Astyanax mexicanus: one gene and its partners. The main gene of each other region encodes a partner of the protein of the gene in region 3 in a complex. Links are inferred from orthologs where the notes say so. Each region holds a gene or a part of one and is shown on either strand. Other genes may lie near its edges.

The links. Proteins that work in one complex are often made in the same cells at the same time.
Region 1: taf5 (region 3) and taf3 share a complex: the UniProt entries of both Homo sapiens proteins name them as parts of the TFIID basal transcription factor complex. The link is inferred for Astyanax mexicanus from reciprocal best matches to the Homo sapiens genes TAF5 and TAF3.
Region 2: taf5 (region 3) and taf13 share a complex: the UniProt entries of both Homo sapiens proteins name them as parts of the TFIID basal transcription factor complex. The link is inferred for Astyanax mexicanus from reciprocal best matches to the Homo sapiens genes TAF5 and TAF13.

The regions. Positions count from the first base shown.
Region 1 is NC_064409.1:21,105,402-21,109,159, reverse strand, and holds the start of taf3 (transcription initiation factor TFIID subunit 3), read right to left. Parts: upstream 2,482-3,758; 5' UTR 2,301-2,481; coding exon 2,135-2,300; intron 1-2,134. UniProt on the Homo sapiens protein: The TFIID basal transcription factor complex plays a major role in the initiation of RNA polymerase II (Pol II)-dependent transcription.
Region 2 is NC_064420.1:35,143,064-35,146,148, reverse strand, and holds taf13 (transcription initiation factor TFIID subunit 13), read left to right. Parts: upstream 1-1,379; 5' UTR 1,380-1,517; intron 1,518-1,634; 5' UTR 1,635-1,672; coding exon 1,673-2,047; 3' UTR 2,048-2,535; downstream 2,536-3,085. UniProt on the Homo sapiens protein: The TFIID basal transcription factor complex plays a major role in the initiation of RNA polymerase II (Pol II)-dependent transcription.
Region 3 is NC_064428.1:23,233,881-23,237,638, reverse strand, and holds the start of taf5 (transcription initiation factor TFIID subunit 5), read left to right. Parts: upstream 1-929; 5' UTR 930-980; coding exon 981-1,335; intron 1,336-2,242; coding exon 2,243-2,468; intron 2,469-3,488; coding exon 3,489-3,758. UniProt on the Homo sapiens protein: The TFIID basal transcription factor complex plays a major role in the initiation of RNA polymerase II (Pol II)-dependent transcription.

The DNA of each region.
Region 1 (3,758 bases), on a different chromosome or scaffold from region 3:
TTACAGAATATTCATGATTGACTGCTTGGGTTGGCAATTTTAGCTACTATAGTGATGCTTGAAAGTTGTTTAACACTTTGAGGTTTTCTACTTATATTTTCAGAATAAATATTATGATATTATCAGATTTTCATACACAAGTCTAAAAAATGGATAAGGAAAACCCAACTATATTTGACTCTTTTTTATGAAGGGAAAACTATCCAATATTACATATCTGTGAGTAAACTAGAAGTCTATATAACATTAGAATAACCCAAATAAACATAAACTCAGTGGTCAGTGAGAGTGTCTACCTGTACTTACCTCTATATAATATTAGTATAAATCCAAATAAACATAAAGAAGACATTTAGTGCAAATATTGCTAACATACATTTTTTTACAGAATATTAAATATTGTGACTGCTTGAGTTGGCAACATCTTGTTAAACACCTTTAGAAGTATTTAAGTATATTTTCAACACAAATATGACCTGAAACTAGATAAGTAGAACCAAAGTAAACAAATGAGTCCAAATATCTAACTCAGTCATTTATTTATTATTTATAAATTACATATCTATGAGTGGCACAAGTATGTAAACCTTTGCTTTCTTCTGCAACAATAACTGTGACTAAATATTTTCAGAAATGGTTGTTTAGTTCTGCACATCAGCTCTAAACAATTGTAGTCCATTCCTCCATACAGAGCAGCTTCAGCCCTGTTATGTTGGTGAGTTCTTTATTCCAAAAAAATAACCTAATTCTTTAATATACCAAAAACCAACTGTTTTTGGTATATTATAAGTGTGTTTTGGACCATGTTGTTGCTGCATAACCATATTTGTTTGATATTTAGATCACAGACAGACGTCCTGACACTAGTTTAAAATTCCCTGTTCGATCAATAATGGCAAGTTCTCCTGGGACAGATGCTGCAAAACAGGCTTAAACCATGATACTACCAACATGTTCCACAGTTGAGATTTTTATACAGGAAGCCAGTGCTTTTCTGTCTCAAAACACAACACATGTAATTTAGGATCTAGCTATTTTGCACCAATTTATCCACAAAAATAGCCTTCTGGCTTGTCCATGTGATCTTAAGCCAACTGCAGATGGGCAGCAATGTTCCTGTGGGTGAACAGCTGCTTTTGCCTGGCATCTTTGCCATGCACAGAATTGTTGTTCAGTGCTCTTCTGATAGAAGACTAATGATAATTAACACTAACATAATTTGTATACAATGTGAGAAAGGTTTAGAAGTTGCTTAGAAGTAATTTTGAATCCATTGTGACTTTGGGGACTATTACACACCTTGCACTTGGTGTGATCTTTCTTTGTGGATGCTACTGGGAGAGGTAATGATGTAACTGTAATCTATCTGACTGTGGAGTCCAAACATTAGAGATGTTATTGAAACAATTTCAGCTTGATGTGAATCAACAATGCTTTCTCTGATGTTCCCAGAATTCACCTGTTTGTGGGAGATGATGCACTTCCATAAACATGGGTGGTGAGGATCTAAAACCTGACTCAATTTTTTAAACTATCTCCTAATCCTAAGTGTTTACATAGTTTTACTACACATATACACTATTGAATCATTGTCCTCAATAAAAACATGACCAAGTGTACTATATTTAGCCTCATGTTTGATTTGGTTCTACGTATCTTACTCACTTTCAAGATTTAGGACGTTTTAGATCAGACTTATGCAGAAATGTATGATAAACAGCTATATAGAGCTTACTCAAACCTATAAAAATGAAGAACTATTATTTAACAGACATTTAAGTATTAAGTTATTTACATTCACTGAGATCTGCTCTGCAGCTTTGGTGCACCAGTGTTCCCAAACAGAGGAGCAGGAAAAGCATAATTGCCTGAATTTCAACATTTTAACCTGTTTCTTCACACGTACAGAGCTAAGAGAGCTTCTGAATGCAGTTTTATTACGAACATGTCTCCATTAAAGCTCCAAAACAGTCAGAACACTGACTACCCTAGTGCTAGCTACCACCTGGAGCCCAGGCGCACACTCAAAACATTGGCTCCAAGAGCTGATAAATCAGTATTCTTGCACTCAAAACTCCACATAACACACCCCTAAGCCCTATTTCACATGTGTAAATCCCTTATTTCTACTCACAGAGCTCGGAGTAGCGGTGGCAGCCCCGGGCGAGCTGCTGCAGGTACCGCTCCAGCAGGTCGGAGAGCAGGTCGCAGGCGGAGAGCTGCACGGCGTCCCAGCCCAGCGCCTGGCAGACCTGCGCCACGGAGACCCGCAGCAGAGCGCGGGCATAGCTCTCACACATCTCTCAGCCCCGCCGAGCCGGACACGGCATATCCCACACCACAACAAGCCGCTAAAACACGCGCTGGACCGGCCTGCTGCTCCTGCTGCTGCTGTTTCTCCGGGCTGCTTCAGATCAGGAGGTCGGTTAGCGCTTCCATAGCAGGCGCCATCATTCACTCACTCAACCGATAGTCGAGTCATCGATTCCACGCATGCGCACAACACACACACAAGACCGTTCGCGACTCGATTATGTGCGGGATCATCTACACGTCCTTAATTTAAAAGCTCCCAATAAATAACACGGATAAAAAGTTCTCAATAAACAAACCAGATAAATAGCTTCCAATAAATGAACCAGATAAAAAAAACTCAATAAATAAACCAGATAAAAGGTTCCCATACATAAATCTAATACAAATGTTCCCAAAAAAATTTAAAAAACCTTCCCAATAAATTAACCAGATAAAAAACATTTCAATAAATAAACGGAAAAAAAATCTTAATAAATAAATTAAGAACTAAAGGAATAAAAAGTTCACAATAAATAAAGCAAATAAAAAAGTTCTCAATAAATAAAGCAGATAAAAAGGCTCTCAGTAAATAAGCCAGATAAAAAGTCCTCAATAAATACACCAGATTAAAAAAAGTTCTAAATACATAAACCAGAATGAAGGTTTTCTATAAATAAACCAAATTAAAAATGGTTCTAGTAAAAAAAGTTCCTAATAGGTTAACAGGATGAAAATAGTTCCAAATAATAAACATGTTTTTAAAAATCCAATAAATAAATCGAATAAAATGTTCATCTTAAAATAACGGATAAATAAGTTCCCAATAAATAAAACAGATATAAAAAATCTGAATAAAAGTGACGTTTAAATTACTCATTTACATGGAAAATTGTGTACATTACACACACATGGAATATGACATGTATTTAAACAAAACACAGAACTTTATTACTTATATTCCCTATATAAATTGTAGTAAACTATTGAACATATGTGATGAATACTATTTAGGCACATGTCAAATATGCCTTTAAAATATAACATTAATAATTATCCATTAAAAGAGTTTGTAGGAGACATTAAAAGAGGTTAAACTCCCCACCAGCCACATTTTGTTAAAAAGCGTTCTTTAGCTTTCATGGGACACAATGTTAGCTCCTGGAAGTTTAAATGGTCATCATCTTAAAGGGGTATTACTATTTTTTATTTGGCTCTGGATTGGGGACTTTTATTATAGTTGTTTAATACTTGTACACATTGCTCTTATTATTTTTTAAATGTGTCTAAAGTTGTAGACATCAAACCTATTTGTATATCTGCGCTGACCATCATTACAACATCAGACAAATAAATAATGCCAATTTATTAATGTTAAGTTTCTGTTGCTAATGTACACATATGCTTACATTAGCAACCATAATGTAACCATATGTAAGCACACTTAACCCCGTCACACTCATTCC
Region 2 (3,085 bases), on a different chromosome or scaffold from region 3:
TTAAGTAGATAAACAGGCAGCCAGTTAGCTAACCTTACTAACTAACTATCAACATCTTACAGTGTAACCTAGAGTTAACCTGTCCATTATCCTGGTTAACCCACCGCTACCCAACAGCTAACCCAGCTAAACCTCAGTGTTCAGACTCTCTTACCTGGTTAACATTGTTCCCTCCAGTTACAGACTGTACTCCTAGTAAAGAGCTATGTTACCATAGCTGTTCCTGTAGTATGGAGTCTCGGGCTGCTGATAGTGATGATTTAATGGTAATGTATAGTTACTCAGGTGATCAGGGTCCGCTACACTCATTCACCATGGTATATATATAACTCCGTTCTGTTTTGGTGTCTGGCAGCAGCAGCAGCAGCAGCGGCCACGCTCCTCTGACGTGTACATGCAGTGCACCCCGGGAAATGTGGCCCGAACACACAGCCTATACTACACACACTACACACACTGGTAATTAGTGTGGTAGCTGGTGAACTTGTAATTAAACTGTAACTGGTATTAAAAGGCTGTTTTTTTTTATTAATTTTTTTTGTTCAAAACATTTTTTTCAGATCACAATTCAAGCTTTCAGCAAACACCCTTCGTCAATATTTATACATTACTCCAATACTGCAGGGGGCGCTGCGAGCGATCACTCGCCGCCAAACACGTGTTAAGATTTATTTTTAATTAAAAATACATATATATAATTTTAGGAGGTTCTAAAAATAAATAAATAGATAATAATAATACTAATAACTATTATTATTATTATACTAATTATTATTATTATTATTATTATTACAATGTAGAAAATAAGCATAATCAGATTTTTTTATTTTGAATGAGTGTGTTCAAAAAAATACTTTATTGTCACAAAATTATGAGTTTTTTTTATTTTACCAAATTGAAAACCTCTGAAATAAAATCCAGAAGAAGATGATTACAATCCATCAAACCAAGCTGAACTGCTTAAATCTCTGCACCAGGAGTAGCAAAAAGTTATCCAAAGCAGTGTGTAAGACTGGTGGAGGAGAACATGCCAAGATGCATGAAAACTGTGAATAAAAAACAGGGCTATTTAATCAAATATTGATTTCAGAACTCCTAAAACTTTATGAATATGAACTTGTTTTCTTTGCATTATTTGAGATCTAAAAGCTCTGCATCTTTTTTGTTATTTCAGCCATTTCTCATTTTCTGCAAATCCATGCTGTAAATGGCAATATTTGTAATTGGAATTTGGGAGAAATATTGTCCGTAATTTATAGAATAAAACAACAATGTTCATTTTATTCAAACGTATACCTATAAATAGCAAATCACTTATTCTTTTTCAGAGTTGTATATATGTTTTTCTTTTTTTTCCTGCAGTATGAAGCAGGTTGATGCAGTTGTGTGCAGATCTCTAGGTGGCAGCAGTGCTTCTATAGAGCTTCGTAAAGTCCTAGTAGAAGAGGAAGTGTGTGTTTGTGGCTGTAACGCCAGAGAAAAGGTTCTGTAGCTGGTTGGCGCTTAAAGTTACATAAGTAAGTTACATATTCAGGAAACTGCTTACGTTTTTTTTATACGGATAACAGTTAGAGTCTGAACAGTGTGTGTTTGTGTGTGTCCTGCCGTATCTGAATTGAGTTTCTGGTTGATAGTAGGGGACTTCAGCGCTACTGCGGGCCGCAGCACAAACATGGCTGAGGAAGACGATGATCCGGGCTTTGATGAAGATCTGGACGATGTTGGAAACGGTGTGGATTCAGGACACGGCAGGAGAAAGAGGCTGTTTTCTAAGGAGCTGCGCTGCATGATGTACGGCTTCGGAGACGACCAGAACCCCTACACGGAGTCAGTGGACATCCTGGAGGACCTGGTGATCGAGTTCATCACGGAGATGACCCACAAAGCCATGTCCATCGGGCGGCAGGGCCGCGTCCAGGTGGAGGACATCGTGTTTCTCATCAGAAAAGACCCGAGAAAGTTCGCCAGGGTGAAAGATCTGCTCACCATGAACGAGGAGCTGAAGAGAGCTCGCAAGGCTTTCGACGAGGCCAACTATGGGTCCTAAACTGTCTCTCACACACGAACAGTCTGTGGTGGTGGTTTCTCTACCACTGCTGGGTTTAAAACGACTTAAAAACTCAGTGTTTTGTGCTGGTATATTGGTCAGCACGTTTCACAAACATGTCCGGTTCTTATAAAATGCGTTTTTCCTGTTGTTTTTGCATTTTCTTTAACTGTTTGTATGTTTAAGGTGACCTACTTGGTTGAATTAAAGTTGGAACAGGTCTAGTAAAGTTTTAATTTCTGTAGGCTGATTGTATAAAGCACTGTGCAAAAGTAATCCCTGCTAAAAATACAGGTCAAGACCAGCTGGACTACCAACATAGGTCTGGATGACCAGCTGGTTCTTATCTGGATTTTTTTAAAGCAGGGATTGATCTTCAAATTTATTGCAGCTCTGTTATAACAATTGTTTTGTTTTTACATTTTCCGGCACCTGTGTGGAAAATTAAACAGAACCATCAACAAATAAATAAGCAGATGTTTTATTCATTTTTTAGCGTTTGTTCTTTTTGAAAAACACTTAGAATTTGTAAGTCTTGTAATTAATTTTTTTTCAAACCTCCTCCTGAAGTAGAGGAGTTCACTTCTTTCCTTTTAAGTTGTTCCAAACACACAATGTATTTTAAGTGTTTATTTAATTTATTGTTGGCGATGACTGCTTACAGCCAATAAAAACCCAAACATCAGTGACGGAACATTAGAATATTATATAAGACTAATAAATACTTTTGGCAGTGTGCCAAGTCCTGCTGGAAAAAGAAAACCACATCTCCATAAAAGTTATCAGCAGAGAGAAGCAGCAGATGACATGTCTCTCCAAACCATCACTGATTGTGGAAACTTCACCCTAGACCTCGAGCAGTTTGGTCTGTGTGTTTCTCCACTCTTCCTCCAGACTCTGGTTCCTTGATTTCCTAACAAAATGTAAAACTTACTCATGATCAACAATAGTTTTGAGCGCCAAGTCATCTGCTGGTGCTGGCTGCCTTTTGTGTAATATAAAGTACCAGTTGATTTTATATAATATAATACATTTTTT
Region 3 (3,758 bases):
TATTTTGACCAAGTTTTGTTCATTCAGAAATCTAAATTTATTAAGAAAAAAAAATATATATAAAAAAATAAAAGAGATAAAATAGCGGAAAAATCCAACCAATGAAATCGCGCGCATTTGGCGTGTCCCTTTTCTCTCACGCTACGTCATCGCGTAAGAACTCGTTTCCGCTCGAACTGGTTCTGCTCGATTCAGTTCATTGAACAGAGGCAACCGGCTTGATTCAGTGAATCGAACGTTGACGTGAACGATTCATTAGGTCTTCGTTTAATGGGTTTGTATTTTAAATAGTAATTAGAATTAAACTAGGTTTGCATTTTGCTTCACCTAATTGAGTCTGATCCAAATATTTATTAACGTTTTTAGAGTGTGAAATAAATAACTGTGTAGGACAGGATTGTATAATTAATTTTATTTTCTTCACTCTCAAAGAATAGTCAGTAGGAAAGTGTATAAATACTAAAGCTTTAAAACATATATTTTTTTTAAATGTCGGTGCCTACAGAAGTTGCTTTTTCATGCACAAAAATACTTTATATATTCGCAGATGGATTTTGACGTGTTGGTTTAGGATATTAGCATTGGTATCCAGAGATGTGGAACTACTAAAATACTGTATCTGAGTATTCTTATTTTTTTTTCTCCTGCTACCACTTTTACTTCACTGCATATTCATATTAATTTTTAACTTTCCTAATAATTTGATTTAACATAATATTTTCATAATATTCATGATAATTCACACTTGTACTTTTCTTATTTTAAAGCCTACACTTCTTCTTAGCTGTCAGAATGCCCTTGAAATGCTAAAATACTAATCTCTATTGAAGCTAGCTACAGTAGCACAACAGTCACGTCCTGAATTGAAGTTGAGTTGAATCTGCTCGACTGATTCATTCAAAAGAACCGGTTCAAAAGAAACTCGACTCGCTGACGAGTCGTTCCGTCTGTAGCTAGTAGTTTCCGCGCCTGGGGAGAAAATGGCGGCCGTGCAGGACGGAGGGAGCGAGCTGGAGGGCGAGAAAGAGCCGAAGCCCGAGCTCATGAACGATGGCTCCACGGCTCCGGCTGCAGCGCCGAGCTCCCGGCCGGAGGATCAGCAGACGCTGCTGGCCGTGCTGCAGTTCCTCAAGCGGAACAAGCTGATCGAGTCGGTGGACGCGCTGCGGCGGGAGGCGGGACTGGCGGACGAGCCGGAGGAAGCTCCGGGGAGCGAGGCTGCAGGAGGCGCCGGCGGAGCCGCGGCGGGGAGCGGGGAGCTCGGGGATGCGGGCGCGCTGCTCAGCCGGGTGTCTGGAGGCTCACAGAGCGCGGCGGCTCCGGCTCCGGCTAAAGGTGGGTCTGATAGAGAGGAGCTGAACAAAGAGAAGAGCTTCAGACTAAGAAACAGAGCTGCTCTCAAAACGTCAAAACACACATGCATGCAGCTACTACTACTATCACTACTGCTACTACTACTACAACTAGTAGTAGTAGTAGTGTGTGTTTGTGTGTGTTTTTGTTTGTGTGTGTGTGTTTGTTTTTTTGTGTGTGTGTGTGTGTGTGTGTGTGTGTGTGTGTGTGTGTGTGTGTGTGTGTGTCTAAACACAAATAAATAGTTGATTGAGAAACCTTTTATGGTTTCTTCAATTTCAAACAGAAAGCACCACTCGAGGGGCTTTGAGGAACCTTCAAAACAATGTTTTAGTCCATAAATGTTCCTTTATGCAACTTATGTTTTCTTAAAGGCTCCTTAAAGCACCTTTAGGGGTTCCTCCAACATTTCAATTACTAAAACCTTTCTTTAAAATTCCTCAAGCTGCTAATTAGTTCTGTTTGTACCGGTAACACTTATAACACAGGATAGTAAAGTTTATGAGGGCTAGTTGAAGTAGATGCTCATCATGTGTTATGACAATCTTATAACAAGATCCTTAATCTTAACTAAAAGACATTCTGCGTCATTTAAATCTTATTTTTATGTCAGTCTTATAACAAGATATGCTATTACAATACAATTTCATTTTCCAGCAGGACTGCCAAAAGTACCAATTGGTCTTATATAATATTCCAATTTTCTGAGACTCTGATTTTCATTGGCTTTAAGCCATAATCATCAGCAATAAAATAAATATACCCTTAAAATAGATCACTCTGTGTGTAATATATTTAAATATAATATATATGTTATGTACATTTTTAACTGAAATACTGAAATAAAGTAACTTTTTAATGATATTCTGATTTCATGTGTTGTCTGCAGGAGGAGATGACCAGCCGGACGTCAGCGTGGTTCTGTCAGCGTACAGTCAGCAGGGTGACCCATCCTTGTATCAGGTCTATTACAGCGGTTTGAAGAAGTTCATTGAATCTGTGCTGGACTGTCACAGGGCCGAGCTGTCGCAGCTCTTTTATCCACTCTTCGTGCACATGTACCTGGAGCTGGTCTACAACAACCATGAAAGTGAAGCCAAGTCTTTTTTTGAGAAGTAAGTGACTACTGTTGGGCAGGGCAATATATCAATCGTATATTTCATTATATTTAAACCCATTTTATACAAGATATAAAAATGCTTATATCATAATAATACCATCAGAAATTGCATTTATTTCCAAAAAAGATTCTACATGGGTGGTGTGTGTGGAAATGCTTTGGTGCAGACTTTAGTCTTGTGCATTATGTTGGAAAAGTGTCACAGTTAAAGGAGCAGCATGAAGACTTTCTCACACAGCATAGTCCAGTCAGTGAAATACTTATTTATATACTTAATAAAATTAGTTGTTTACTATTTAGACATACTGTATCGTAACATATTCTATTATCACCATTTATCTGAAACATATCGATATGAGGTTAATTAAGTAGGTAATTAAGTAGTTTTGGTCTCAGTCATGGCCCTGAAACGCCTTTGCCGTGCACATTTTATTGTTTTCTCTGATCTAACATCTCACACAATTCATTAGCACATAAGAAATCCCACTGAGATCTAGAGAGTTGGATGTTCTAATAGTTCTGCAGTGTGTTGACTGATATGGTCAGTTCTTCAGGCACTGCCTAGTAGGGGTGGGTGATATGGCCCTAAAATAATATCACAATATTTCATGGTAATTTTGCCATAATGATACTCTTGGCGATATGACAAAACACTGAATTAAAGAAAATATTTTAAGAATACACTACTGCAACAAAATTAAAATGAGGTTTTATTATTGCATATAATATGACATGACACACCCCTAACTATAATAAATATTAAAAAATACTAGAATTCTATCAGATTTGTAACAGAGGTCAGTGATCCAGAATGTCATGATACTAATAATGCTCTACATTTATACAGGATGAAAATAAAATCAGTTATACTGTACACATATATTCTCTCTCTACTGGACATATAATGGGAAATAAGTACAGTGTGAATTTTTCAGTGTTTGATCAGAGTATTTCTTGTAATTGTTGCCCAGAAACTCTCCTCCAGCTCCTGCCTAACGTTCCTTTTCATGTTCAGGTTTAATGGGGACCAGGAGTGTTACTATCAGGACGACTTGCGGGTGCTCTCAGGCCTCACCAAGAAGGAGCACATGAAGGGCAACGAGACGTTGCTAGACTTCCGCACGAGCCGCTTCGTTTTGCGGATCTCCCGCGACTCCTACCAGCTGCTGAAGAGGCACCTGCAGGAGCGACAGAACAACCAGATCTGGAACATCATTCAGGAGCATCTCTACATCGACATCTTCGATGGCATGCCTCGCAGCAAGAGCCAGATAGACAGCATGTC